Lepisosteus oculatus: one gene and its partner. The protein of the gene in region 1 purifies or fractionates together with the protein of each later gene. This does not show direct contact. Links are inferred from orthologs where the notes say so. Each region holds a gene or a part of one and is shown on either strand. Other genes may lie near its edges.

Region 1 (15,323 bases):
AGTACAGGATACTGCCCAGTAAGGGCGACTGGGACACACTGGTGACCTCCTCCTGCCTTGGCCAAGTAACGCACAGAGCTGACGGACAGCACAGCGACACACGGCCAGCCGATGATGTTACAGCTTCCCGCTAGTGTCGGCAGAGCAAAAGACAGTTCCAGCCTGCGTTGGTCCACATCGTCCAGGGGAAACGGCTGTCAGCAGTCCATCTCCCCCAGCGCCTCGGTTCTCTTCCCAGATTTCTCCCCGGTAATGCAATTACTCCTCCCGACAGCTGCGCACCCGGCTTTAATGGCACGATCATCTGTGCCGGTGCGTGTTCAAAGGGCATCTGCAGCCCACACAAGCCCGCTTTCCCCGAGCCTATTAATAGCTCAGTGAACGCCAGCCCACACTCAACACACACGGCTGGGGCAAAAAAACAAACACCCGGACCGCACCCTCACAGTCCCCTGTCTCAAACCCGCGTTTATTCCGAAGACTGTTCTAGAACCCCGCAGAACCGCAGGTCCGGCTGTGGATGGTCACTCACCTGCGGTCCCCGGCCTCCGCCTCCTGGATCTCCATGCTGATGTACCGGTGCTGCGGCACGAAGCGCTGGGACTGGGGAAACCGAGCCAGAGTACCCCTCTACCTGGCTTCTCGGACTGCGCGGTGCCTTCGCCTTCAGCCGCAATCCAATCAGCCCCGGACTTCAGGGTCAAGAATGTAACGCAAAACGACAAGACTAGCTCCAACCCCTCCTCTATCTCACCGCCGACTTCCTTCTTCCGGTTGGGGCGGGAGGAAAGTAGAACTACAAAACCCAGAGGTCTCAGCGACATGGACGGCTTAATTTAATTTGTTTTGAGAAAAGCTATCAGCACCAACACGGCTAGTGATATTCCCTTCATTTGTGGTTTGGACTCCTGTCTGTAGGTTATACATTTTATAAATACTTCTTCATTGTATTGGTATAACGCCTATTGTCCTTAAGGATCTCAAAAGATTTTATATATAGGGGACCTCTTCAGCCAGCATTAACAACTGAAGTGCAGTCCCCTTATAAAAGAGGATTAAATTGAATTAAAAAGGTAGTTTCAGGAGGGCACCCCTTTTCTTACAAATTACATAATGGGTGAGTACAAAAAACTGGCTAAGGATGTGACAACAGGAGTGATAGAGACCCATTAGGCCAACAATTCACACAAATAATTCTATATGAACTCTGAAACAGTAAAGGCCAAAGATCCTACAAGGCATCGGTGTTGGTAACATAGTGGAATTCTAACAAAATGTATTTACTATTTTGTTACCCTCTTTTTAAAAAAAAAAAGATACACGCACCAGAAAAAATGCATTGTTGGCAATGTTTAACGCACCAAAGGCTTAATTTAAAAAAAAAGCTTGATGAAACGTCCTTTTACGCGAGGATCCTTTCGCAGTTGTATGTGCATACACCGCAGGCTATCGTGCAATACGCCTTTTTATCCATTACAAGGGGATGAACACACAATCATAAATTATTTACATATAAACACATGGAACATGTCGCCAGCAGCCATATCACCCTGCAGCTCTCAACGGGCTACCCACTGAAGCTAAGCAGGGTTGAGCCTGGCCAGTACCTGCATGGGAGACCTCCTGGGAAGCTATGGTTGCTGCTGGAAGTGGTGTTAGTGGGGCCAGCGGGGGTCCTAATGCAGTATAGTGGCGGGGACACTGTACTGTAATGGCGCTGTCTTTCAGATCAGACGTTAAACCGAGGTCCTGACTCTCATTGGTCATTAAAGACTCCCCAGGCATTTCTCAGAAAGAGTAGGGAGTTATCCCGGTGTCCAGGGGGCCAAATTTCCCCCCTCGGCCTTTACCGTGGCTCCAAATTGTCCCCATGTATGATCGCCCTGCGATGGACTGGCGCCCTGTCCTGTCCAGGGTGTACCCTGCCTTGCGCAAGTTGCTTGCTGGGTAGGCTCTGGCTTCCCCCAACACCGCATGGTATAAAGAGGTTTGGTGGATGACATGACATATGGAACATTACTGGGAGACAGGCTCACTGTTCCTCAGGCTGTGACAGGAGGTCACGTCCTGGGCTGCCAGTTCAGCTGAGTTCCCTCCTCCCTCTCCCAGTAGGATTGGGAGTTGTTGTGATTCTGGCAGGTGAGGGAATTCTGGGATTAGATTTATAAATTTAGGGAAGAGTGTTTGTCGAATCCCAGAATATCTATCACAGTGGAGCATCTCTGTCTCTCCCCGCTGGCAGTGGGAGCACAGCCTGTCCTCTCAGAAAGCTGTCGTCTCCTGTCATTGGCTGTGACGTGTGCTGCGCGCCTGCGCAGAGCAGGTTTCGTGTCTGAATGGACACGGGGAGAAGAAGGAGGTGGGGGTTAGGCTGCACTGTGCCATCCAGTCCAAAATACAGACGTATACACAAAGGCCTGGCACAGCCCTGACATGAGCGGTATCGGGTTCAAGTCTGGCGGTGTCCCTGCCTTGAGGAATGGCCCGGGGACCAGCGGCGGCTCTGACGGCCTGGATAAGATTGACATGTCGCTAGGTAAGGCCGCACGGAGCCGGGGAGTCCAGGTGGGGAGGCAGCCCGGTTTAGAGCTCTCAGACAGCAGCGCTGCGGTAAACACCGGGGGGATGGGGATAACGGTACTACTTTCGGGACTGTACGGAAAGCTCCAGCCACCGAGAGGCTTGTCGTTAAAGAGCTTGCAGTAACAGCGGTGTGTGTGTGGCTGTCCGGTTTGTGTGAGTTGTGTAGTGTGGCAGTCCAATAGGACAGGTTTCACGGGTCACCCTTAAATCACCAGTTGGCAGGGGCTTCGACCAGTTTCGGTTCAACCACTTTTAAGTGGGTTGTTGAACAGTTCAGAGTTCTAGTCAATAGTTCAGAGATCACGACAGAAAGAAACAACAACGCTCAATACCGAGAAGCTCAGGATGTTGGCTCTATTAACTCAGAAATGGCCAATTATGTATTTATTCAAACCTCATTTGTATAGCGCCTAATACCCTAAGGGTCTGAAAAAACGTCCTATCTGTAGGGGACCCCTTCACCAGCCCTTATAGTTATAGAGGGGTCTACATACAACACGTTTCCCTAAGCGGTGTGCATACAGCGTGCATTTCAGTCTAGTTTTCTGCATAGTAAAGTCTGTGCGAGTTGTCTGGGTACAGCTTTCTGGTCTTCTACAGAGTGCAGTTTATATATGCATAGTCTCCTTCTTCAGTGTACAGTGATGGTCTATACAGAGTACAGCGTTTCTCATAGTCTGAATATAGTGAACAGTATACCTACACATAGTACGTTCACTGTACATGTCAATTTACCTTGTCCATGATGTTAGAAAGTCTGTCTGCAGCGTGGGCAGTCAGTCTGTGCGTGCAATGCATGTCTCTTTCCCATCCTCTCTCAGGCACTCTTTATAACCTCGCACTCCTCCTCTCCTTGTCATCCTCCCCTCCCACCCCCCGCAGATGATATCATCCGACTGAACAGGAAGGAGCAGAGGACCCAGTGGGCTGGCGCTGGGCCCCGGAGGCCCCGTGTCAATGGCCGGCTCACCCAGGGCTGGCGAGGGCCGGCCTGGGCAGGGGGTCAGCAGCAGAGAGGTAGCTACATGCTGATACCCTGTCGTGTCACACATGTTAATAGACTCGCAGGGAACATACTGGTACTGATGCACTGATAAGCAGGGAAGCATTGTAATTGTTGAGATGCCTCCAAAGCACTTTGAGAAGCCACTTTTAATGGTGCTGTATAAAATAAAGTCTATTAGCAGTGTTGCATTAAACAGTATACCCTTGTTGAAGATTGTCGAAGATGCCTTTGGCGTGTGTTGTCTCAACATTTTTCTGTCTCCCTTCCTTATTTCCTGTCTCTGCCACATCTGTCACCCCCATCTCTTTTTCCTCTCTCTCTCGCTCCTTCTCGTCTGTTTCCTCTCTTGTCCTCTTCCTCCCGGGAGGTGTGGGATACCTGGGGGCTCGAGGCCGGAGGGGGGTGGCCCCCGTTCTCCGCCGGAGGGGTCAAGGTGTTGTTACCGGGTTGGCCGCCCGCAGGAATGCTGTGCTGCTCAAGGGGATCAGCCCCTTGAACCGACCGCCGCTCACACAGGTACGGAGTGAGAGGGTGTGTGTGCAGAGAGAAATGGAAAGAGGGCAGAGCGATCATGTCTTAGAGCTGGGAGGCCGTTTAAGTGCACGTGCATGTCAGCGTGTCTGTGGACAAGTGTATGATGTCAATATAAAGCTGTGTCGGGTGCGATAGGGACTTGGACCATTGTCAAGGCTGGACAGGTTTGAGTTGCTCAGGGTGTGCTTCAGCTGAATCCTGCCTGACGACAGTGAGCTTGGAGATGTGTTTGCCTGCATCGGCCCTCTCCAAGGCGACAGCTGTGCTGTAGGTGGCATGAGACACAGCCTGCTGATCTTTACCTTGAATGTTTCAGAAGGTGCATGCAGTCACCATCTCTGTCCTGTGCATAAGAGAGTCCTTCTGCATGGATGAGTTAATAATGATAATTGGCAATTCCTTATTAAGGTTTCTAACAAGAAAAGTGAATCCAAAATTTTAGATGAAATGGAATTCCTCTGTATATTTGCCTTTGGAAGAAAAGGGCAGTGAATTGAGTGTCTGGTCTGTGTGTGAGTAGGATTATTTTTGTTTATGTGTACGTTAGAAGCTACACTGCTCAGCAGAAATATTATCCTTTCGCTATATCACGTTCATGGCCTCTATGATTCTTTCACACCTCCTCTCTTTTTCTCTGTCCCTGCCTCTGCCAGAGACCACGGCCTCTTCTTCAGCGCAGGGCAGTCCCATACAGACAGACGGATGCCCAGTGGCGAACATACCGGCAGGTGGATTCCCAGCGACAGCCGTATGGACAGGTGGACACACAGAGGAGCCAGGGCCAGCCCCTGCACAGACCCATACAGCTCCGCCGACGGTGAGCAGAGAACCGTGTTAAACAGCCATTAAGCACAGTTGTGTGTTCACCGTCTTCTCAGAAACTCTGTCTTCCTCTCACCCTGTCTCTCTGGCTCAGCTGCTCAATTTTGTGCTTTGTCACTGTGTTCTCTCTCTGATCACCTACTCTCTCTCTCTGCAGGAACATACTCCCCACATGGCCGCCCGCCTCTCACCATGCCCAGAGAGAGGCTCGTCAGGCCACCTTTCTATTCCGCCGTGGCCTAAAGGTACGCAACTCTTTTTCTCCTGCCCTCTCCCCTCTTTTTCCTCCTTCTCTCCCTTACACTCATCCTTAAAACCCCTTCTCCCCCCCTCCCCTCCTCCTCTGCAGGACTTTCTCATGTCAGTGTCGGAAGGCTCCAGAATGAAACACCACTGCAAAAATTGCGTTGAATTCCCCGATATAGTTGTAATTACTTTGTGCCTTTCTGTTTCTTTCTCTCTCAGGTTCAGGCCCAAGTTCAGAACCCTGTCTTGTCCCCAGCAACCCAGAGGACACGGCCGTAAGTCTGCCTCTTCGTCTCATTGCTGGATTTAACAGCAGACACTTGAGCACACGTGCATTAAGTGGAAAGGCTGTGAGTCCTCCCACTGCTTCTCAGTTCTGATTCAGTCATAAAATAATATGAACCAATGTAATGCAGCTCAGATTTGTAAGCCATAGCCAGGTCTCATTCCAGTCTTGTGAATGTCTTGTGAATGTGTGGATCCTGATTGCGTATGCTGTTCTTTCCAGTTCTGTACAATTTGCTGTATTGCCCTGTGCTCTAGGTGGCGCACATCAACCACTAGCGGAGGAATCCTGACCATATCCATTGACAACCCCACTGCCAGAATACCGTCAGAGTGAGTCACAACACTCCATTATGGATGTTGCAATAGTGATCGATAAAGTTTGTTTTTTTTACATTGGAGGCTGTGTTAATACCTGTCCTGGTACAAATATAGTGTGGTTTAAAATCCTGGTTTTCTTCCTCTGGGAAGACAGCAGACCATATACAATGGGCCATGTGATAAGCTCCACTTTTTTAGTTCCAATCCCCTTTTTGCACTTGTTGTAACTCCCGGGTGGGTTTACTAGGTGTTTGGTAACGACACAGTAGAATACTGTCCAAACATAAGGGTAATGAACAAAAGCATTGTATGGCAAGGCCCCAGACTGAAACTTAAGTGGTCACAACTGTGGCTAATTGATGTGCTCATTGCCTGGATTTTAAGACTTGTTAACATTGTCATCTGGAGCTAATGGTGTCTTTGCCTTTAAAATAAACTCAGGAGTACCAACAAGCAGCTCTTCCTCATGCGTCGCGGGTATGAACGGTCTTTATCCCACGCTGAAAGTGAAAAGTGTTCTCTCCTCACTACACTGAAGAAAACGAGCAAAGGGAACTCCTCCTTTAAACCACAGTGTACCTGGCTCCCCTGACTGACATATTTGGCACACAGCAACTGGATCTAATGCCAGTTTGATCTGATTTGAAAACAAGTGTCTCCTTGGATAAAACATTTTGTCTAGAGCATTGTTTAAGAATTTTGATTTTTGTCCCTCCTTGGGGCGCCTGTGGCTGGCGGTTCAAATCCCGTGGCTGGCAGAGCAATCCTACTCCGTTGGGCCCCTGAGCAAAGACCTTAACCCCAACTGCTCCAGGAGCACCGTACAATGTCTGACCCTGCGCTCTGACCCCAAGCTTCTCTCCCTGTCTGTGTGTTTGCGAAAAGACAAATTCCTAATGCAAGAAATTGTATGTGGCTAATAAAGTGATCTGATCTGATCCTTATTGTCACATACACCTTCCCCCTCATGTTACCATCCAGCTTTCTCTCTCTCCACAGCCCCCCCCGAACTCGTGTGCTGCGCCCCCCCCTGCCCCCCACCCCTCTCAAGCAGGAGGAGCCAGAGCTGCGGAAGACCCCCAAGGGTGTGGCACTGCAGTTTGACATTAACAGTGTGGGCAAGCAGGTAATTACGCCCTCCTCCGTGGCCTTTTATCCCTGTTGACACTGTGTTCATGGCAGCTCATGGGGAAGCCCAGGAGACCCTGAGCAGAGACAAACCTCCCTGCCCTGCAGCCCATTGTATGCAGCTGTCTCATGGTTTATTTTTTCACCACCAGGTGTCAGTCTTTCTAATCATCATTTCAGAAGCTCTGATTTTCTGTTGATCTGGGAGGTTGTGTGTGTGCGTTTGGGTGGGACCGTGTTGTATCTGTGTCTGTGACCGTGCAGTTCACCACTGCGTGCCCTCGTGTGTAATTCGTCACTTTGTGCGTGCGTTTGGGTGGAACTGTGTTGTATCTGTGTCTGTGACTGTGGAGTTCATCACTGCGTGCCCTCGTGTGTGATTCGTCACTGTGTACGTGCGTTTGGGTGGAACTGTATTGTATCTGTGTCTGTGACCGTGGAGTTCATCACTGCGTGCCCTCGTGTGTGATTCGTCACTGTGTGTGTGCGTTTGGGTGGAACTGTGTTGTATCTGTGTCTGTGACTGTGGAGTTCATCACTGCGTGCCCTCGTGTGTGATTCGTCACTGTGTGCGTGCGTTTGGGTGGGACTGTGTTGTATCTGTGTCTGTGACCGTGCAGTTCATCTCTGCGTGCCCTCGTGTGTAATCTGTCACTGTGTGTGTGTGTGTGTGTTTGGGTGGGACTGTGTTGTATCTGTGACCGTGCAGTTCATCACTGCATGCCCTTGGATACGCTGGTGCCAGTGTGCTGTTCATGGCTGTGGGCACTGTGCTAACCCTGCTTTCCCCGGGCAGACGGCCATGACCCTGAATGAGCGATTCCGCATCCTGAAGGACCAGCGCTCGGAGGTGGCGCAGAGCAGCAAGAGCAGCCGATTTGTCACCGTGGGATAACAGTATGCCGAGGCAGCCAGTCAGAGAGAGATGCTACTCATAGACCCCTCCCATCCCCCCAGCCAACACTCTCACTCTCAGATGCGCCGGACCCAGGGGGAGAGGCGAGGAGGGGGTGGACAGTCCTGCCCCGGCAGGGAAGCACAGGCCCCCTCTGAGGTCGGGCACCAGACACAGACCCTCCTGTGTGCTTTTGGTTGACTCGTGGGGGCAGGGGCAGAGGAGGGAGGGGATCTGGAAATGAGGAAACGAGAGAGAAAAAGTTGTAAAAACAGAAGATGCTGCAGCTCTCCCTCCCATCGCTGAAAGAGTTTTGGCGTTCCTGTTGGATATAGTTATTCTTACTTGTTGTTTTTTTTTTTGCATTGATCCTGTTATTCTCATATTTGATATTTGTTACTGTGTACGTTCAGGAATGTTTTCGGTGTTCTGAATAGCAAAGGGAAGTTGGCTGAGGACGATGCTCTGACGCACACTCGGTTTGTGTTCTGGGAGGGGGAGGGAGTGGGGGGTGGTGGTCTTCCAGCAGGTGGGGGCATTGAAATTGTGTTGGGTTTTTTTTAGACTTTATCATTTTGAGTTATCTAGATTTTCTTTATCAAAGACAATTCAGAAAAGGGCTGCTTTTATTTTGAAGAGTCTGTGTTTCTTTACAGCATGGAATTACCTACATAACCTGAGGCCCTTCCAGTACACTCCAGATCTCACACTGCCATCACCACCAGCTCCTTCGGCTTCGACTCCATGAGGAATGTCAGCAGTATTGGATTGGTGACTGTGAAGGAAGGGTACACTGGAAGGGCTGCACATGGAGTGTCTTGGCTTTAGAGCAGTGATGGGCAGTTCTGGTCCTCAGGATTTCATTCCGCCTCCAATCATGAAGAACTGATTATTTGCAAAACGAGTTCACCTATTTTATACTTTATGATGTTGCCAATTGGAACATACCTGGAAGCCCTGCAGGACTCCAGAGCTGCCTGTCCCTGGGGCAGAGTAACACGGCTGTTGTTCGACCCCTGCCGGCTAAGTAGTGCCGTTTTCCGAAATGCCAGACTCGGAGTCAAGCAGGTTGGCCTGGTTTTTGCATGGCAACACTAATGTACTTTGGTTTTATAGGAGTGTATTTTATTTTGGTTATGGTTTTGTGACTTTGCTACACCTCGCCCAGCTCTGACATGGGCTTCAGTGTTGTTTTTAATTCTACTTTTGTTGTTTGTGTGTGGATGTTTTTTTTTTTCATGACATTTTTGCTCTGTTATTGGTCTTTATGGAAGATGTTCACATAGACATAAACGTGCAGGGTATTTTCTAAAAAAAAACCAAAATAAATGTTAAAATGTTTAACCATTTCAATGAATTATTTTCTGTAGTCTGTTTTTTCCTGCGCAAATAAATTCATACTATTAAGACTATGCGCCTTGCCCACACTCCGTCAATTCCCTACTCGCTTTCATGTTCAGGCACCACGCATGCTCTATGCCCTAAAGCCGGGCTTTTATACGCATGCTCCTTGCCCACACTAGAATCTCCCCTGCCGGTGGCTTCAGAACGCCCTCAGTTGCTGCGCAGACGCAAAGTATGTTCAGTCCCACCGACTGAGAGACGGTGGGAGTTAGCTCTATAATGGCGGCTGCGGTCTTGCTGTCGGCTGAGGGCCCCGGTCCCGGTGTGCCAGGAGTCCCCGGTAGCGGACCAGGAGTAGCGGGACCCGCCTCCTGGAACCGCTCACTCGACCGAGCCCTGGAAGAGGCTGCAGTAACGGGGTTCCTCAACCTCAGCGGCAGAAAGCTAAAGGAGTTTCCGAGGAGTGCCGCCAACCACGACCTCACGGACACAACCCAGGCCGGTAGGCAGCGCCCGAGGGCCGCTGAGGGATGCTGGAAGAGACCGGGGGGCCGGGAAAACAGTCCGGGCACTCCCTAAATTATAGACCGAGAATGTGCGGCTCTGCGAGCGGTTTGCAGGCGGGGAGAGACGGGGTCTGTGCGCGTTACTGAGCGTCTGCAGTTGCTTGACATGTTCAGTAGCCGCTCCGTCAGACAGCTGTTTTGAGGGATGGTGGAATGGAAAAACAGCTCGGCTCACGCGTGTTATTAGTTACATTGCAATTCGTGGCTGATCATATTATCATGAATTATTAAGAAGAGGTGTGTAGTCGTGGCTGGGAGAGCATTACGGTTCCTTGAGAGCTGTTGTAGCTGTTGTGAAGTTTGTCGGAGTTGGGCTGTGGCGGAGCAATGTGTTCGTTGCCGTGATGATCCACGCAGGACAGCGCCAGTTCGTGGGAGATCCCTGTCTCCCCCACGCATAGAGTAGCGGAATGACTGGAGAACAATCACGATTTTGTCCTTGCCTTGTGGAGTATAAGACACCCCTCCACCCCACTCGGCAGCCGTGAGTCCGCTGTGGAAATAGCCCTCGTGATGTAAACACTACCCACAGCCCTATGGGAGCCGGGAGGTGTGGAGGGTCGTAACACCTAGCGGACTGATATGCATAGATAAGCCTCTCTGGATGTCTTGCTCCATTGCTAATTTGTTTGTGTATGTGACAGGGATAACTTTATTTTGATCAGTTTCTGGCAGTCCCGTTGTGGACACCCCTGTGGAGAGTTTGGGCAGTCCTGGGTGTGGATGTTCGCGGATGGGGTGGGGAGATGACACACAAAAGGCGCACACTGACTTTGTGTAAAACAGGCTTGTATGCTTTCACGCAGAATGACACTGGCTGTGTACACACACCCACACAGTGTGCAGACTGCCGGCCTAGCCCAGGAATCCACCTGTCACACTGTTCAGAGGGACAGTCAGGCTGAGTGAGACAGAAGCACTTTGCTGTTGGCAGCGCTGTGGGATGTTTCTTTGTGCTTAGTAGTGAGTCAGAACGTATTAAATGATGGGAAAGGCTGAGGCAGAGCTGTCCTGGCACACGGTTATGGTGTGTTTTGGGGGGCACTGGAAAACCGACAAAGGAGCTGGCTCTTTTTCACTTGATATATCGGGATTAGAGATCTTTCAATTATTAGGCTGTGCCTTGCAGCATAGAATCTAGTGAGGTGCTCGTTCGTTTCTTCCTCTGAACTTTCTGGAGACAGAAGGGATTTGCGCTGAGATCTGAGGACGGATAGCTTGATCCACAGTCCCCCACTCGATCGGCAATTCATATCAGTAGTGTTAAAGTAATTAATTATAATTGCTTACACTTATATAGCGCTTTTCTGGACACTCCACTCAAAGCTCTTTACAGGTAATGGGGATCCCCTCCACCACCACCAATCTGCAGCATCCACCTGGATGATGCGACGGCAGCCATAGTACGCCAGAACGCTCACCACACATCAGCTATCAGTGGGGAGGAGAGCAGAGTAATGAAGCCAATTTATAGAGGGGGATTATTAGGAGACCATGATTGGTAAGGGCCAATGGGAAATTTGGCTAGGACGCCGGTACAATATATAACAGAGATTGGAGATTATTGAATGTGTGCGTGTGATGATCTGTCAGTGTATGTAGGTCAGTTCTGTGTGTCTAGCGTGGTATTGATCAGAGGGACTGCACAGTTATTCTCATGAACAGCCCTTATCTGTGTAAACTGGCACCTCATCTGACAGGGGGGAGTGTGCTCAGTGTTTCATTTGCTTGTGTGTATTGTTTCTTTTTTTGGGAAGAGAGAGACAAGGTGATATTTGAGGGGGGGGGGAAGAAATGGATTAACATTTCTAAAGTGTGGTAGACATTTCACTCAAATCCCTGCTGCAATAAATTGTTATAATAATAACATGCAGTGCTGCATGTCGGGAACAGGGAGGCGGTCCCTGCAAGGGTGATAAAGGGTTTATCACAAGTCATGTGATGTTCTCAGTTTGTACAGTGGCACGTTTACCGCAAGTAAGGAACTGACAGTGTGGGATTGAAGAAACAACTGTGATTTCATCTCCCTTGCTACAGGCTGCTAGCTTGAGCCAGATCTCACCTGCTGGCGTTGACTCAAAAAAGGAAAGAGGCCTCACGTAGAGGTCGGTGATGCCAGGGAAGGCGAAGGTGTCTGGACTGTAATGAGAGGGGAAAGGCACGAAATTTCCTGGTGCGCGTGCCCCAGGGTGAGCTGCCCGCAGTGCGGGGGCTGAGAGTCTGCACGCACACCGGCTCGTCCCCTTACGAAAAGGGGAAGCGACAAGTCTGTGTACGGCACGGGGCTGGAGTAAAGATACAGCCTCGGACAGTGACTTGGTAATGGGGCTTATTTAAATCCGCAGCAATGGCCTAGTGATATTGATCGCTGCCATAAACGGCACTGTGGCTAGTTTGTGGGTTGAACCCTCCACACTTCCAAAAAGCGAAGCTGTCCATGGTGTTTCGGCATTTACTGCTCAGCTGAGATGTTGGTAGTTGTTATATTCTTTAGCAGAATTTCTTTAGCAGAAAGTCATAACCTCAGCTCCTCTCCCCAGCCGTACACTCTCCGTCTTTGGCTGCTATGCAGACACATCAGGCTCTTAGTCTTACACACACCTGTCATGGAAAGTTGATTTTGTGTTGTGGAAAAAATATTCATTAGGCTGTTTTACCTAGCAATACAGATAAGATTCTGAAAATCTCTCTGGGGGCGTACAAGGAGAAGCTGCTTTAAGTGACTCAGGGTTAGACATCAGCTGGCGGCCAGTGGGTCTCCGGTCTTGCTCCCTGGGATCCCAGAGTCAGCTGCCTGCTCGGTCCAGCTGAGCTCTTTCCCTCTTCCATGCCTCTTAGGCCTCAAACAGTTGGAGCTTGCAGGGTACCTGTAATAACATTGGAAATCTGCAGCTGTTTAACAGCTGAGGACTAGTAAAAATATTTTTGCTTGCGGTCCGTACAATTAAGTGTTCGCTTAGGTACCTCAGAGCTAAGCTATGCAAAAAAAACTATCTAGAAGGGCTGTGTAACACAGGTTTGCTAAAAAGCCTGACGGGTCTGGGTCAGCATGTTAACTTTGCAACTTGGGTTAAGGATTGAAATGCTTTTCTGTTTAGTGAAGTTCAGGTCTGCATTTAGCTGTGTTTCCTTGCGTGCCATCCGAGGCAGTAGACAGGGAGCCTGTGCTCAGGATACTCTTTGCTGCCCCCTGCACTGTGGCACTCGAACACAGGCAGCGCTCGGAGGCAGGCTGTAGAAGAGCACCCGCTGCCACACTGCCAACCCACAGCGGAGAGGCTGGTCTGTGGACACGTCCTGCAGATGTGTAATCTACTCAGCCAAGGCACGGGCTCTCGGTGCTTCGTTGTCATTTTACTGACAGGCAATGAAATAAAGCTGTACAGTAGCCCTCGCAAGCACCTCTGGCCTTTATCCTTGTGGCAGATTCTGTCTTTGTACAGTCAAAGCTTTTGTAAGATCCAGCCTTTTTTTTGTGCAAAAATGTCTATCTTGCATATTAGCTGCAAATGAATATTGGTTTTGAAAGAGACAATTGTATTTATTTAAATGAAAACATTGTCTGCATTAACCTGGAGTAAAGCAGGAGGATGAGGGTGTGAAGAAAGCGGTGTAATTCTAGGTTATCAGCAGGAGAGTTGTTCTAGGCAGTCAGGTTAAAGGCCTTGTTTACTGGCTATCTTGTTCATGTTCCCTATCTGTACTCCTGAGTCACCGCGTGTCCAGTTCTAGAACCCTCATGTGCTCCATCCTTCTGCTGAGATGTAAGACTGAGATCCTGTTAAGAGACTCTGCAGCAACTGTTGTTGGGACAGCCTTCACCCTCAAGTCTCTGTCAGTCACGTTTTGAGTGCAATTTATGTGAAATGACTGATTCTGATTGTTCGGCGTCCCTCAGGCCCCCGTCTCTATGCGCTGGTCTCAGGGCAGTTATAGCGTGCTGCCCTCTGTGTGTGCTCGCTGTGACTGCCACACTGCAACAACAGGCCCACTGTCACACAGACGGAGTGTGAGTGGGCGGAGGGTTTGGTTGGTCTGGATTGAGCACATTGTGTTGGGAATCATTAGGACTTGATGAGATACGGAATTGCTTGAAATTGTTGTTGGATTGTTGAGGGGGTGCTATATGGTAGGGTATAGGTCTATCCTGACTTCAGAAGTTAACAGGACAGATGTGAGACTGTTGATAAATCAGGTCTCAGTGGGGAGAAACTAAAACATCCGTTTCACCTGGGGAAAGAGAACTGAGGGATTCTTATCTGTTATACTTTCTCTGAAGCTTTCTTTGTTCGTTTTATTCAAATTCAAAACTATGTTTCAAATGGCAGTTTGCCTCTGATTACTTAACTGGAACAACATGACAGGAAAAACAGGAACATCTGCATATAAACTACAAACTCATTTGTATCTGCTCCTAGTAAACAGAACTAACGGAATTATCGCTTCAGGCATGGTTGTCATTATGCATTCTCTTGCATATTACCTTTTTATCAATATGTCTGTAAATCTGTACTTGCCCTTTAGTCATAAACCAAATAGGTACAAGTTTATAAAAGAGGTGTACACTGGGCCAAAGTTGCAAGTGCATAACTTTTGTTACCTTGTCTGCCAAAAAGTGTACTTCCCCAGGGTTGGCATGGAGAGCTGAAAGTCCCAGAAGTCCCAGAAGAACGTGAAACCTTTTGGTGGCCTGTGCTACAAAACAAACGTAGTATTCTGGTGTGGGGGTCTGGAACAAGCTGCTAAGCCATGTTGTTCAAGCTGGCTTTTTTCAGGAAACAACTAGATCAGATCTTCTGATCAGTTAGCTGCAAGCTTTCTAGCAGGCTAGAAAGGATGAATAACCTCTCTCATTTGGAACTGTACCTATATTCTTATTAGAGTAGGCCTTTGTATAGAACTAGGCAAACAGTTCCTTGTTTGTTCCAGGAGCAGAAGTGGAAACACTGGACTTCTGCTTGAATTGTCAAAGAGTTGGATAAAGGTTAAAGGAACTGCTGTATCATATGTATATAAACCTGTAGAAAATGTCATTAATGTTTGCTCAGATGGTGGAGGTGACCTGCTATCCCTTTATGTAGGACTGTGTTTTGCAATCAAGTTAGGGCTAAACAAATAGGTATACATTTATCTTTGTTTTGTTTGTGATTATACTGTAGATTATAAAGACTGTGGAGATCTTTGTGAAACAAACATTATGCTTTGTAAATAAAGGATTACTTGAATTTCCACCTGTGTAAAAAAAAAACAACTTGAGGTTCTTCTGTACTTGAGGTTAAAGCTGGTAAAGCCCAGCCAAAGGTGTTTAGGAGCCCAGACTGTTACTCTGTATATGGATAGGTGCAGTATTTCCTGTGCTTAATTTCTGCTTAGCTGTGCTTCGGCATTGCTCGGTTTTAGACCGTCTGCTCTCCAGGACTACTTAGCACAACACCAGCACCTCCTTGTGTCACAATGAATCTAACTTGTGTTCGCAATTGAAAAAAATATTGAAATTAGACTTCAAGTGTTAAAACCAGGAGAGAATGCGGAGCCTCACAATCTGTTATTGTTGTTCTCTTATCCAGGATGACATGAATGTAGACAAAATACT
Region 2 (15,539 bases), on another chromosome or scaffold:
TAAGTTTCCCTTTTTCATGCTTCCAAATGAACCTTGAAGCTTTAACTAATTCTTCACTCCAAATAGATTAAATCCTAAATGATTAAACCTTTGACAAGCCACAGGAGGTCAAAGAAAACAGTTTTCAAATAAGAGAAAGCCATTCAGACCCTCTTGCTTTCTGGGTAACTGAGCAGCAAAAAGAATCACTGATTTTAACAAGTTGTTACTTGAAAGACATTGAAAAGTTTGGACCTTAGTTACCTAGTTGGGAAACACACCCAAAACTCTTGTGGACTTGGAATAAGTGTTTCTTATTCCAAGTCCTAAATGAATTCTTTTATTTTAGAGTATCTTTTCCTATTTTCACCACTGAATGTAAAATAACCCATTGGGTTTACCCAATCTAAACCCATTAGGATTCTATAAACTTAGATCAATTTTCCTCTCGGTTTCCCATGAAATGGAAGCATAACATAGAAACTTTATTAGCATACTCAAAGCAGTTGTCAAAAGTTTCCAATTGACTGTGTTGAGAAATGAGATTATAATGGTAAAAAATCTTTTTTAAACAGATTCTGTTGAAAATTGGGATTACAAAGCAATCACATTAAAGGCCTCCTTGGTTAATATCATAACCCCTTTATAGTCAATGTCCTTCAAAATCCATTCAACATGCACCACAGATTATTGCATCAGCAACATACAGTATATACAGTAGCTGTGTTTCTAGGATTGAAAAATGTTATGTTACATGAGAACGGATCTAATACACAAAATCTAGTCGTATGTTTCTACAAAGCAATGCCAAAGATTTCATTTGCCGAGGTTGCAAAAAAACCTCTGTGATCTTTAAGTAAAATCTTAAAGAAGAACTCATAACAAATCTGAAAAATAAATTAAAACTGTTCAACACCTGCTTCACTTTTATTCACCCCTCTTTTATTAGGGGACACTAGCACTTTTATTTTTTAGTTTATTTAGAAGAATTTATTTACTAGTAAAGCATAAGCATGCCAAAATCAAGTAATTCTACATTTTATTTTAAAAGATATGCTATATAAGTACACAATACAATTGTTTAGAGAATCTATTCTTCTTTGCACTTTATTATAAATGGTAAATATACATATGGCTCCTACTGGTTACAGCATTACAACCTAAACATGCGGAAATTCCACTGTATTTGTTTGTATGTAAATATAATTCCCACTACAACATTCTTCCATCTCAGAAATATCGTTGGATTATGTCTTATGTCGTCTCTGACTGTTGCTGAAAAGCTGGTCAACACATTTGTCTTTTCTAGAATCAATTACTGCAACAACCTACTCGCTGGTGTATCTAAATCCATTCTTAACTAATTTCAGTACTGTATGTCCAAAACTCAGCATCCAGAATACATACAAAGGATCACAATTCTTCTGTCCTGGAGCCCTTGGCTTCCTATCAGGTTTTGTGTTGACTTCAAAATCCTCATGCTCACCTGTGAGGCTCTATATGGCTTGGCACCCCAATATTTATCCAAGTCATTTTCCTACTCTCTACCTTGAAGCCTTTGTTTGACTCTGGTCTCCTGTCTGTCCCCCAAGATCTACGTTCTAAGGGTGACAAAGACATCTCTTGCTATGGCCCAGAGCTCTGGAATTCTACACCCAATGATATCAAATAGTCACCTTCCCTCAACGCCTTCAAAGGCAGACCCAAAACCATCTTCTTTATAAAGGCTCTTATTTAATTTATGTCTGCCCTTTTGCATCTGCTATCACATTATAAACCAATCTGTTTCTTTGTGCCAATATTAACACGTATCCTTGTTGCCGTTTTCATTTTTCTTTACTTTTCTGTAAAACGCACTGAGAAGTTACTACTATTATTCAACCTTTTGCTCATACTGCCACAAAACACGAACATTAAATTTGATTAATCCTAATTCAAATTGTATTTGCATAGTAAAAGTGATATCAAGCAATTTACTCTAAACCAGATTTTCATGCAGCAGCAGGGTCTTGACAAAATGCAGTGCAGACCAGTTCCCCTCGAACATCCATGCAGATTACAACCAACGTCTGTTGGCAAAGAAACAGTATACCTTCCCTCTTTTAATCACCTATTATACAACATTAGATCTCCATCTTGAGTTCTAAACCTTCAAAGCTTAATGGGTCTGCAAAATAAATCTTAAGAATTCTCTGGCACAAATTTTACTCAAAAACATTTAACTGTAGTGTTATTGACATCTACAGAAACTGTATAACTGATTGAACCTGTTAGTGCAGATTGGCATGTGTTGAGCACTGGGTACTCAGTAGTCCAGAGTAAGTATAGAAATAGGAGCAGGTTGAAAAGTGGTGGTAGCTACCTTCTCTGAAGCTTTGGTTGGGTTTCTTATGTCAGACATGTTTTGATTTGTTCTGTAAAACTACTGGGTATAAAGCCTTTCCTTGCATGTCTGAAGTGGTTTACATGTGAAAGTCCCTGAAGCCGTGATATCAGTATCATCTTCCACAATGAGATAAAACAACGTACCGTGTTGGATGATCCATTCTGTTTATTCACTGCAAGTAACAAAATAAGTTGGTGATCATGAATTTTGCCATTAACTGAGTTAAACAATGATTGAAACTTTATCAACCCAGAAGTAGAAACTTTAAGATTTCAGCTACCAATATTTTTAATATTTATACTACTTCTGCTGGATAATACACCCACACATCACAGTGACCAAAATACTACGAATTATACCCATCAACAACACCAAATATAATTACTAATTTTACACCTGCTACTAAAGTTTAATAAACCAATATGCATGTATTTATAGATAAAACATTCTATCAGGCTTTGTAACTCATATCCCATGTTGTTAAGATTTAAAAAAAAACCAGGGTACTTCATCAGCCTGAGGCATATTGTCCATGTGCTCTTTAATGAATACTTATGTATGACAGCCATTCAACAAATAACTGCACAAACTTTCAGAAGCTTAATCATATACTAAATGACTAAATTTTAACTATTCTTGAGATTTATAAAACAGCCTAGAAAATAAACTTAAAACTAAATTTAATCAGATGTTACTTACAATCCATGTTTTCTTCACATCTTTTAATCCAAATCCCAAAGGTGCTGTCAGATTCTGTGGTAATGTGTGCAAAGACATAGAAAGTCACAAAACCATAAGCACATAAAACTAACCTGCTGTTTAATATAAAACTGAAATACTCACCATCTAACTTCTGTCCTGATTTGAATGCCTCATATGAAGATTCGTAGTTTTTTAAATGGTACTCTGCAGCTCTATAAAATAAAACAAGAAAATATATAGCAAACCTGTAGCTTAGGCATTGTGTAAAACTGCCTAAAGTTTTCCAAACCAAATGTGTGTAAGGTACTAATACATAGTTACAATTCCAGTTCAAAATAGATTATATTCTTTACCCAGGTATATTGTTTCTCAGTTGACATTTTTATACAATTTTCTGATATTTCCTCTTAAACTGTTTCCTGCATATTATGTGGTTACTATTGTTTCAAAACACTTATTAAAGCAAAACCATAGAGATGGACAAAGCATCTTAGCTCTGCTTTGGGATATGTGTTCATCATTTTTCTTGTTGGAACAATCACATATACAGTAACTAATGGAACACCTCTCATCAGATAAGAAGAGAAAAAGAAGAACGAAGCAGAAAATATTAACATAACGCCTGGATATTTTTATTTCTGAACTGATCCAAGTCCCTAAAAAACCACACCGTCCAGGCCACTGTTAATACAGGAAGATCCCCATTTAATGTCTCCCTACTTTTTCCACTATTGAGTTTCTGTAACCATGGGCATAAACATTCCCCGACTTCATGTCCAAAGGACTTAAACTGCTCCATAAAGTCCAGAGTGTACAAAATGGCCAATTTCTAGTAAAATCTAAATTGTTTTGTAATTTATATCTATAATGATTTTTATACATTACTGTATTCTGGCTGAGATTTTTATGTAATTTTACCTTTTTTATGTCTCGACTTTACGTCCCCTGAAGGCAATGTGCCCTAACAAAGAAGTCAAAGAAACAGCGAGAAGCACAAGCACACTATGTTGCTAGATAAGTTAAAATATAGACAGAGTTACTAGATGATTAAAGTAATTTTACAGTATTAGATGTCCTTATTTAACACATCTGCAACATTTAATGTAAATGTATGTATTATTTTGCTGTATATAAAAGTTGGATGTTGCTTTCATTTTTGTGTGTGCTGTACATACACAAAACATGATGCCACTTTCAGCCTGTGCAGCATCATGCACCTAATACTGCTTGATCTCAGTATCGTACGCAGTTGCTCACAAACCACAAAAATGTATTCACAAAAAATGTGAATGTACACTACTCTAGAATTATGTCATCATGTCATGGTCCCTTATGGGAAAAATGTCACACTCAATGTCCTCTGGGGAATATTTATGTCCTCCTGGTCTCCAGTAACCCTTATTTCCATTATTTCTTATGGGAATAGTTCCACTTGTAAAATCAAAATTTTTTGGTCCCCATTGAAGATCCTAAAGACATTCAGCTATGTATTTGTGGTTTACAACTGGCCTAAAATAAAGTGCATATTATAAAGAATCACACAAGATTCAGTGTCTCATCTTTAGCATTTTGTGGTTTTCAGTAGAATTAATTTATAAAGCATCTAATACAAGGAACATCTGAAGTACCAACACACAAAATGTTTCCACGTACCCTGCTCTGAGATAGGCTAGGGCAAGGTTTGGCTTCAGGTCAAGAGCCTTCTTTGCATCTTCAAGAGCACCTACAAACAGTAAGATATAGAAAAGATTTTATGGCACAAATTCAAAATGTTAATACACCCACAAATTCCATACAGAATTATTCTTACAGTGGAATGTTACAATACGGACACAATAAGATACCAGTGTGGTAAACATTTTTACCTCCCACTTTTGCCACAGCATGCATCCTCTTCTGAATAACTTACATTTCTTGTTGCATCTTTGGTCAAAGCACACAAGTGGTTTCAACACATGCCCACATCTTAACACCACCACTAGTTGACAAATCACTACTAGGTGACAGGCACCATTACTGACAAATATTGAGGACTTGGATGTAGTAGATTTACTTACTGCTGTAATTTTGTAGCAGAAGGTGGGTGTAGGATCTCTGACAGTACCATTCTGCATTATCTGATGTTCGTTCCAATACCCCATTCAGCTCCTGGAAGAAAATACAAATGAATGTGCCGAGACATACAAAAACATATGCAGAGCTTAACCTCAGATGCTTCCAAAAGGCTCAACTGGTAAAAGTACTGAATAGAAGCGCAAGTTAATCAGAAACCCTAGATTTGTGTCTGTGCTATGTTATTAAAATTAGTATGAGCAGGACACCCCAAGCCATACAGGACAACTGACTGAGTAAGACTGGTGCTCAGAAAGCTTATAGGCAACAAGATCAGCCTCAGAACAATTGTGAATTTTCACACGTGACTTAAAAACAAAAACTAGTCACTGAAAATATGAAAATAAAAGATTACAAACAGGAATAGGCCCATTTTGCCCATCTAGTCTATTTAGTAGTAAGCAGCTAACTGGATCCAACGATTCAATCTACTCATCCATTTCCCAAACAAGCCAGAGTATGGGCATCATCGACATGGCTGGGCAGCTTGTTCCACACTCCCACAGCTCTTTGGGTAAAGATTTGCCTCTTGTTCTTGAAACCAAAAGCACTTCCACATAGTTTCCATTTGTGTCCCCTGGTTCATATTATCGGGTACCCGCATAATCTTTTCAGTTCAAGACTGAAAAGGGTTAATTCCTTCAGTTTTTCAGCATAGGACATTTCTTAAGGTATGTACAGTATATTAGAAAATGTAAGAAAAATGTCAACAAAGTACACATTGATATTTACAGTAAAATGCAATATAATTTATTGTGGGGGTAATTAAGGCTTAACCACAACCTAGGTACAACGCTATATTTTAAAACTCATCTAACATAAGAGGGGAAAAAGTTTCTGAATTGGTACAGTTGCAAGTATTCAGTAACTCAAGCAAAACAGAAAAACATCAGCGCAACAGACTGGAGACCCAGCGAAGAACAGGTGCAAACAGATTTCACATCTAACGTCCAAGTTTGTGGATGTGAAAAAAAATCAGCTGACCTTATCATGCCATTTACATCTCATAACTTTTTTTTTTACAAGAAATCAGGGATGTATACACAACCTATTAATAAACTAATAACAGGAAAGAGGGCTGACTTTGTTTGGAGAAATGTGCACTTATTTAGATGTGTATAGTGCAGATGTATCAACAGAATTTGATGAATAATACTTCCTTTATGGCTGTATATGTATGATAAGTTACTGATAAGTTACCCCAGCGCCCTGGCCAAAGTTCCTATTGGCCCTTACCAATCATGGCTTCCTAATAATCCCCATCTATGAATTGACTACATTACTCTGCTCTCCTCCCCACTGATAGCTGATGTGTGGTGAGTGTTCTGGCGCACTATGGCTGCTGTCGCATCATCCAGGTGGATGCTGCACATTGGTGGTGGTGGAGGGGAGTCCCCATTACTATTACATGCAAACTATGAACAGAACAAAAAGAAATAAAACGCATTGCTAAAGTCTATCATTTCTATCGTCAGGAGGCTCTTTTCCCATTATCTGTGACCCTGAACGTGTAGAACAAAAATAAACTCTGTAGTTAACGAATTTCTGACACCTTTTTTTAATTATCTGAAGGTTAATGCATGTTGGAAGAAGATGATTAAATCACCATTATTAGCTACAAGGATGAGTGCGAAACCTGAAAGAGCTATCACTGACCTACATGTGGTGAACAATGTGTTTCATACAGAAAAAGGCAAATGTCTGAGAGTATTTAGAAAATACAGGACCAAGGTATGGTAGTAGCATATGATTTAACGAGTTGTCAAAGTGCCAATGCACATTATTTATAGACATTCTAGCACACAAAAATGGTTGGTTTAAAAAAGTTCTCATTCCAATATCCAGCAAAATGCTCAAACCCATCACAGATCCAAATTAAATTAATGGAACCTTCAGTTCAAATTTATGGGTCTTTCCCGATACAAACTGAAGGAGAGGGCAATGATTTTAAATTCCACTTGGAAATCATCACGAAAGGCTCATAACGTTTTCCCTTTGGTATCTTAACTCTCCTACTGTAACTTTTTTTTTATCCACACATTTATATATACACATGTATGTAGAATACAATATTAAAATATTTCCAATGCCAATGTAAAGTACATAGCCCACAGAGGTTTTCAGATTAAATTGACTCCAATGTGCCCAATAAGCACTATTTATTCAGACCGGTTGTACTGGCTGGGGGACAAGGAGATATCAAGTGACTGGACGGTTTGAGGAGCACGCTTAAATACTACATTGACATCTTGAACTGAACTGAATCTAGCAAGATAGGATGATCTGGAATGTCATGTAACGAATCCAAAGGAATCAATACGACAATTTAAAACGGATGTAGGTTTACACGTTTTCTGGGACATTGAGTAATGTTACAAAGAAAAAAAAGTTTAGCTATATGCGGAAAAGTGAAAACATTACGGAGAAAATCGTTGGGCAGACAACTGTTTAGAAGTACCATTTTGACACAGAAAGGCCCAAATCTATTACTAAATGGATAGTAAATTGGCTACGCTTATTCCGACTGTATAAAATAATACCGTAAAGAATCGAATTGAGTACCTAAGAGAAAGACCACGGAAGGAAACAGGCACAGCAACCCAGGGACGCTATTTACCTCTAGAGCTTTCTGAGGATCCTCGTCAATGAGGCTGTCAGGGAAGCTCCTGCAACACAGAAACACCAGTTAACGAGAAAATCGGCTACTCTCAACCTACTCGTTACTCGGCTAATTTAACTGAATGTTGTAGTGAAATATGTACACTGCACTTGCCTTTCGTCTGCCATGAAGTCCTGCCCGAAGTGACGTCCAGAACGTTCTGGATGGGGCTGCTGGGCTGCTCAGATGGAAAAAGACGTGAAAACAACCATAGATATCCACCCTGCGATCTGTGTGACGTCACACAGAGCGACGCAAGAAATCGCTTTTCCTCAAAAACTATAGGTATCCCATAATGCAATAGTATGGCCAAACTATAACGAACTGCAACTAGTTCGTTGCTGCCCAGAAAGGTCAGCAGGTGGGCATGTGCCTTTTTTTACAACGTAAACAGTTAACATGAATATTTGTCTTTTAATTAAACTAGTAACTAGGACAGTAAAGCTCTAGATGTGCTACTGTTTCTAAGAGACAAAAGTTTCAAAATTCTGTGTGGGCTAGTGGTATTGTGACTGACAAAACAGAATAATCGATAACGCGAATACGAATGATAATGGCATACGTACACATTATATAACAGTCATGCTCAACTAGGGTATTACATGCATGGTCACACTTAATATGTTCAGAATGTTATGAAACAATAGTATTATTGGACGTTAAGTAAATGAGATTGAATTTGCTAAACACGAGTAAAGTTCAAAAACAATCCATAAAACTATTAAGATGCCAATCGGTTTAAAATAATGTTGAAAAAAACGAGTGCTTCCGTACGTTGATTTTGTACCCTGTTTTCCGGATAGGGTCTGAGTTGAGGCAACTCTTAGCGGGAATATGCGGGTTTCTCGTTACTGGAAACTGTAAATTAAAGAATCTGTAACAGTAAACAGCTAAATAGAATTGTTCTTTATGTTGACACCTGCTTCGTATTGCTAAGAGTGTAATGAGGAATACGGCTGTAGAGCCAGCAAAACGTAATAGAGTTTGCTGGACCCAAAAACGAAACTAATAATTATCGTATAACTAACGTGTTGGGCAAAAATATATTTATCCATCCATTTTCTGACCGTTTTATGCAAGACGGGGTCGCGGGGGTAACCGGAGCCTATCACTGCAAGCTAAACGAGATCTATCACTTTGAGATTTAATTACAGAGTACAGATTATTCAATAATGTAGTTACCCCCTGTGCTTTGTCAGTTTACTTGCCCCCCAAAACTACAGCCGTATACTCCAAACTCTTGCAGTATTTTCAAAGCTGACATTGAGGAGCCGCCTGGTTTGACCATCGTAAGATGGCGGCTGTATTGAACCTAACTGCCAGATTGAAGGGCACATCTAGTTTGTGTTGGTATCTATGCTAAAAACCGTAATACGCCGCAGGGAGGAAAATGACAACCGGTAAAATACAGTAAATGTATATTATTTTAACGAAAGCAATTTATGTGCTTGTAGATGCCATAGGCAAACCAGTGAATAACAACAGTAAGAGTGAGAAAATACTGAAATAATTGAACAGCAAAAACATTTTGGTCCTCGGCGTCACCCCATTGGTTTACAGTGGCTGCGGGTCTCTCACAGAGCTGGTTTGCAAAACTGCGCTGTGCCGCGTAGGATCTGCACGGACCTGTGGTGAAATCCGTCCGCAGCCCTGGAAGAACGCAGAGCTGTGCAGGACTGCGGAAATCTGCGCCGGGAGAATGCAACCTACCGCTGTATTAATGAAAAAAAGGGACACATCTAAGACACAGTTGCAGAAGGATGCAACGCACTATATTGTCCTGCCACCTGGTGTCTCCGTAGTACTAACGCGACTGAATTCAAGGATCTAAGGTTAAATGGGAAGTTTCTAGAAGCAGCCAGAAGTCTTTTAAAATGTGCAAGTTTAAAAGCAGTCGTTACAGACTAATTAGCGTTACAGATTAGCATTACTTTCTTGACGTTTCAGCCCACTGTGTTACGAGCAAGATGATTTCGTCAGAATAGCTCCAGTTGTATTCTGGGAAAAAAAACGTCGCAAATGAAGATACCTTTGGGGCGCATATGTGCGTTTTCTGGACCTGTAGAGATTTTGATTTTTTCATATATAAGGATCAGATTAAAGACGTTATATACACATCCACTTCAGTAGCAACATGCAACTGAGACATGATTCCCATGCTTTGCTGGAATTCAATTTTTATTTGGAAAAGGTAATAAAGAGTTAATTAAAAATAAGTTACCGATTTAGTACGTACTTGTGCGCTAACCACTTAACGCAGCTAGTAAGCTGTTTTCCGTACATTGCAATAGAACCATAAGATATGGTAACATTCTATGGTATCTACTAAATCATTTTCATACTTCTACAGAAACAAAATATTGTAGTGCGACAGGTTCAGCGGGGATAGAGACAGGGGATCAGGCTTTTGTTAACTGAAAATACGACGCTTTTAATTAGTCGGACGTGCATCCAGCACAGCAAGCCCAAGTGTCATCGACAACAAGCTACAACACACTAGGGTACAGATACAGTGGGATAGGGTGGTAATTGGGTACATGAGACGCAAAACCAGGGAAACTATTTACATGAGTCCGGGCGATCTCGCGAACTTTTACACCGGTTCCGCCATTGGTCAGCCGCCCTGGCCGCTCTCCTAGTTCCCGCCCTGGCCACCACTACTCCCGTCCTGCCCCTCGCCGCGCACCCAGCCGGGCGCTCTTCGGCCGCAAAGCCAGCGAGGGCGCTACAGTACCTATGGACAAAGAATAAAAATGTCTCCACCCATCTATTTTCTACTTTAGGAAAGGTGCCAGTCCATCCCAAGTCAGACAAAAACACACACACCAGGGACAGTTTTCCAAATGCATCCAGAGGGAACTTGTAAATGCTTCGCCTTCTTGGCGCCAGATATACCTTTGCTTTCTGAAACGCCTACAAGTTTGTACTGCGTATAATTCCAGAAACCAGCGTATGAAAAAAAAAACAGGTGTAATTGACGTGTACATTTTATGTATTCTGCAAATATTTCACTAGATGGCAGAATCGATCAAGGTACTGCAAAAGATTCTGCAAAGACCTCACATTTCTTCTGTAGAACTTTGAAAAAAAACGATGTAATGCATGTTTGTAATTTAAAAAATCATTCCATAACACGCACAGCTCTGAACCAACACATTTTTTAGATCAAGAATCTATATTTTGCCGGTTTTATTTTTCTAAAATTAATAGTCTGTGCTAAAGTCAAATGTTTTTCAAGAAAAAAATATCTAGAAGAATTAAGAACTAAAAAATAATTGGAATGCATTATTGATCTGCATTGGTAAACAGACATCACCTATTTCAAAATATACAAGATATTGTCAGTGTATAGGTGCACCGGCAGTCTGCCAAAAAACACATTCTTGCACATTATCATGAATGTGCAGACTGTAAGTAAGGTTAAGATTTTAGATTCGTTTTTTGTTGTTTTTCCTAAACCCAGTAAAAGTACATTTTAAAAGCAGAATGCAAGGGCAGAGGAGTATAAAGAAAAAATTGGGAATTGTTTTATTAGTGCAATGCTTCATTCTGATTCTTGAACCACGAAGTACTGATGAGAGACAAGTCTGTTCTGACCAAAGCAATAAATAGAAAGTATATTTTTGGTGCCTAACTTTTTTCACCCTTGCCTTTGCGCTGGTTTGTAGCCTATCAATTGACATTACATGGACAAATGAGGTGTATATACTGTAAGGAATGGGTAAGAGGTGCTCTGATTAGTGCGCTGTTGCATGTTTGATGGTTAACTGGACATTTGTTCTTCCCAGCAGAATTACCCTGATCTGAACGTTCAATACAATAGGGATTGTCCTGAGCATATTTGTAGCTCTCCTACAGTAGATCCTAGAGGCAGTCAACAATGATCCAATATTGAAATGATTAAAAGTGTGGTATTGTTAACTTAGGCCAAAACTAGACTGTTAAATCATTAAGTCAAAAATATTAGATCATTACTATTTAACAGTGATTGTTAATATTTAAAAGTAACTGGACCATTCTTAAGGAGGACAGTAAGACAGTCTTCACATGACGACACGATACACTGTACATAGGAAGTGAGCCTCAAAGAGGATAATTGCAGCATGACAGAGAGCACAAAAAAAGGAAGGAATAAGAAGGGAGGGAGGAATCACCCTCGTAAGAGGAAGAGACGAGTTGACACTAGGACAGAGCTTCTTTCTAGCAAATTCGAAGCCTTTGAGAATAATACCGTTCATGGGGTTCGTTGACCCATTGATTTGTTGAACATCTGCTTTCCAAAATTCTGGAATCCATTAGCTCGAGGAAATCTGTCCTTGGTTACTGAAGCGTTTGAAGTTGTGCAAACCTGGTTTAATCTTTTCACTCAGTGGTCAGCATTACTGCCGTGCAGCGCTGGGGCCCTGAGTTCAGTCCAAACCTAGGGTGCGGTCTGTGTGGAGTCTTTATGTTCACATGTGTGTGTGTGTGTCTCTGTGTGCTCCGTGATGTTCTTGCATCCTGTCCAGGATGCAATCCACTGGATTCAGAGGTTAGAAAATGGATGGATGGTTATTTCGTTCTTTATGCAAGAAATATTCTGTTCCCTTCTTCCACTGAAATTTAGTTATTTTGTTTAAAACTAATAAAAAAGATCATCCTTATTAACAGTATCTGCATTATTTTTTAGTATAAAAAAATGGACTTTTGGACTGTGATGTGTAGAATGAAACCAATTATGTTAAAAATGACCACACCTGACAATGAATGACCATTAACAGTATTGAAGATTGTCCTGGGTGAACAAGAGGAATGGGACACAATCCAACAACACTGCAAAAAGCTGCAAAACACAATGTATGTTCAGCATTTATGTACAGATGTACAGCACACATTGGTTCCTACAGTGGCCACACACAGTGCAAGCCAGTAACTTGTATGGAAGACCCCCAGCTGATGACAAATACACTGCCTTTCAATTTTTAAGAGAAACAATAGATAATAACAGAAAGACCTACAGACTGAATAACCCTTCTTGCTTTAAAATTCTAAAAATATTATTAGTTGCATACTTTTCAATAGAACTGCAAAGAGCAAAGTTATATTTGTCATAATTAAAGTCCAGAAAAGACAAGGGTTACATTTACACCCCTGTGATAAATCTTGTTCTGGCAGGTTTTACCCTGACTGGACACAACCTGCAGTGTGAAAAAAGGTATTGAGATATTGAGATTGAGATATTTATGAATATTATTTGATGTAGACATTCCTTGAATCCTCCAGACCCTTCCACTTTTGTTAGTGAACTGTGATCTTCAATTGAAATGCTCAATTAGATTGAGTTGCGGTTAACCATTCTTTTTTCATCCGATTTGGATATAAATGTATGCTGAAATGATTGCATTCAGCAAACCTTGATCGTCTTTTGCAGAATGAACCAGAGTCTGGCCAAAATGTTTTGGTACTTACTGGAGTTCATAATTTCCCTTATCTTGACAAGGGCTCCAGGACCAAGCAACACAAACACAAAACATTACACATACCCCACAATATTTCAGTTGGCACAAGACTTTTCTCAATATGAGCTTCATCTTTTTTAAACCAATTATAACTGTGATAGAAATGTCTAAAAAAGGTCAGTTTTCATTGCATCTGATCATATGACATTGGTCGAATTGTCATTCCAATAGTATTTGTCAAGTTTTTTATATTTGTCAAAAACAACTGCAGCAGCTCAAAGAGAAGTAGTATACTCAATGCTCAAATTTATATCTAAACTTTAAAACTTAAAAACCTCTTGGGTTTTCAGTAGCCTTTTTGCAGAATACTTCATTATATACTGTAGTTAAACTGTTAGTAACCAAGAGCAAAATTAAATATTAAAAATGTACTAATGTTTCTATATTTACATTTTATAAAGTAAATCCTAAGGACAAACACTTCAAGACTATTAAAAAGGGAAAAAAAATAGCATGAAGATTAAGCATGAAGAGCACATCTCAAACTCACATATAATAGTTTTCACAGGTACAAAACACAATTTTTCAAAATTAAAAATGTATTTAATAAATACAAATCCACTCTGATGTTTAGAATTATTTCAGTTTAACAAGAACTGTTGTATATAAAAATTAGAATGCACAACAAGTAAAACTATATCAAGTCAAATGTCCTGTACAATATTTACATTTTTAAAGAGTATAATATTCTAACTGCAAAAGGCTTTTAGAATTTCAATTGTCAAAATATTAGTTTAATAAAATAAGATGAATTTAAGCATTGCATTAAAAAAGTTACACAAAAGGCAACAGTAATTTTATAAATATAAATTAGAGGAATTTATAATTATGTACACTTCTTAAATTTGTAGATTTGATAATTTTGTGAATTTTCAAAAATATTTGAAATGTACAAAAATTTTGAAGGCTTTATTTGAATCGATAAGATTGGGTACTTTTCTTTCACAAAAAGAGGAAAAAAATGTTTGGATGGTACTTTGCCTAGATTTCAAAGAGGCAAAATCTATTAAAAAAAACTAAAGCAGTAGTAAAATCAAACCAAAAGGTTTTAAACAGGTTTGCATCCAAATTTACAACTGGTTAGATAACTGAACAAGCCTTAAAGAATACCAACACACAACAATGAAGCATTTGTTATTTCATTTTTTTCTAGTTTGTTTAACAGATTATATTTGAGAAAGGCATTATACTTTTGAAACTCACACCTGTAAAAACCCTAGACAGTTCTGCAACTCAATGCGTGTTGTCACACAGAATACCCAAGTGCCAAAAAGTATTTTAGTGATCGTAAGTGCTGAAAGCAGTAGAAAAATCAAACAGCATCTCTTTGAGTTCTCTACTTTAAAGTACTTTAAACGACAGAACATCGGACTTCAACCAGAATCACATTCAGTGTCATGGCTTCTTGCCTCTGATTCCACCCAACCATCATTCACCACCACCACCCTGAAGTGTTGATCCAGTTGGATCTCTGCCTGCTCGAGTCTTTCCGGTGAAGTGTTCGGAGTCTCCTGTCTCTGAGAAACACTCTGCTTGGTGTCTGGTGCTGTGATGACAGAAGCAATAACTGTCCCAGGAGGATGAGACACAAGCTGCTGACCACCACTTGCAAACGTCACTACAGATGTTGCAGAACCCACTGTTGGAGAGGAAGGCAAGGGAATCGTCTCGTTATCTCCTTGCAAATGGGCAGCAACGTCTTGTTGATTGGAGATACTGCCGTCAGCCAATACGGAAGAAGGCGATGTCGTTTTTGGAGAAGTCACTGCAACATTTTCCATGAGCACTGCCATTGGCTGGGAAGAGGGCACAGTCTGAAGAAAGAACTTGGGTGATGAAGCCAAGGTTACTGAGGTGTCCTTACTGCCCAGGACTGTGGCCAGAGACAATGGCTGTAAGGTCACCGTGTGAAGTTGCTGGTTTCCTGGAGCAATAAATACCGGAAACTGAGTCTCGTTGTTTGTGCTGCTGAATAAAAAAAAAAAGAAAATGCACTTATAAAATGCACTTATAAAAACTCGGTTTGCAGTGTATGTGTGTGATAACGGTCTTTCTTTTGAGGTGCCTTTGGAAACGAAACTGCTTTAACCTGTCGATGTCAATATATAAAAGCCACATGCAAAACAAAACAAAAAACAATCTGGTGATGGTAGTACTAAAAATATACAATTGACTTTCCCTCACACAATGAGTTAGATGAGTC

The links.
Region 2: the proteins of lrch3 (region 1) and sugt1 purify together in Homo sapiens (co-immunoprecipitation; 3 studies listed by BioGRID and IntAct, counting the BioPlex papers as one, with this or other methods). This does not show direct contact. The link is inferred for Lepisosteus oculatus from reciprocal best matches to the Homo sapiens genes LRCH3 and SUGT1.

The regions. Positions count from the first base shown.
Region 1 is NC_090708.1:16,898,517-16,913,839, reverse strand, and holds the start of lrch3 (DISP complex protein LRCH3), read left to right. Parts: upstream 1-9,406; 5' UTR 9,407-9,443; coding exon 9,444-9,666; intron 9,667-15,323. Other genes in the region: rubcn (run domain Beclin-1-interacting and cysteine-rich domain-containing protein), read right to left, coding at 533-567; UAP56-interacting factor, read left to right, coding at 2,434-2,536, 3,466-3,600, 3,957-4,105, 4,777-4,940, 5,103-5,190, 5,411-5,466, 5,735-5,809, 6,797-6,923 and 1 more. UniProt on the Homo sapiens protein: As part of the DISP complex, may regulate the association of septins with actin and thereby regulate the actin cytoskeleton.
Region 2 is NC_090710.1:16,032,873-16,048,411, forward strand, and holds the start of sugt1 (protein SGT1 homolog), read right to left. Parts: upstream 8,081-15,539; 5' UTR 7,967-8,080; coding exon 7,953-7,966; intron 7,846-7,952; coding exon 7,797-7,845; intron 5,216-7,796; coding exon 5,125-5,215; intron 4,791-5,124; coding exon 4,721-4,790; intron 3,280-4,720; coding exon 3,209-3,279; intron 3,119-3,208; coding exon 3,065-3,118; intron 2,538-3,064; coding exon 2,509-2,537; intron 1-2,508. Other genes in the region: ETS-related transcription factor Elf-1, read right to left, coding at 14,710-15,304. UniProt on the Homo sapiens protein: May play a role in ubiquitination and subsequent proteasomal degradation of target proteins.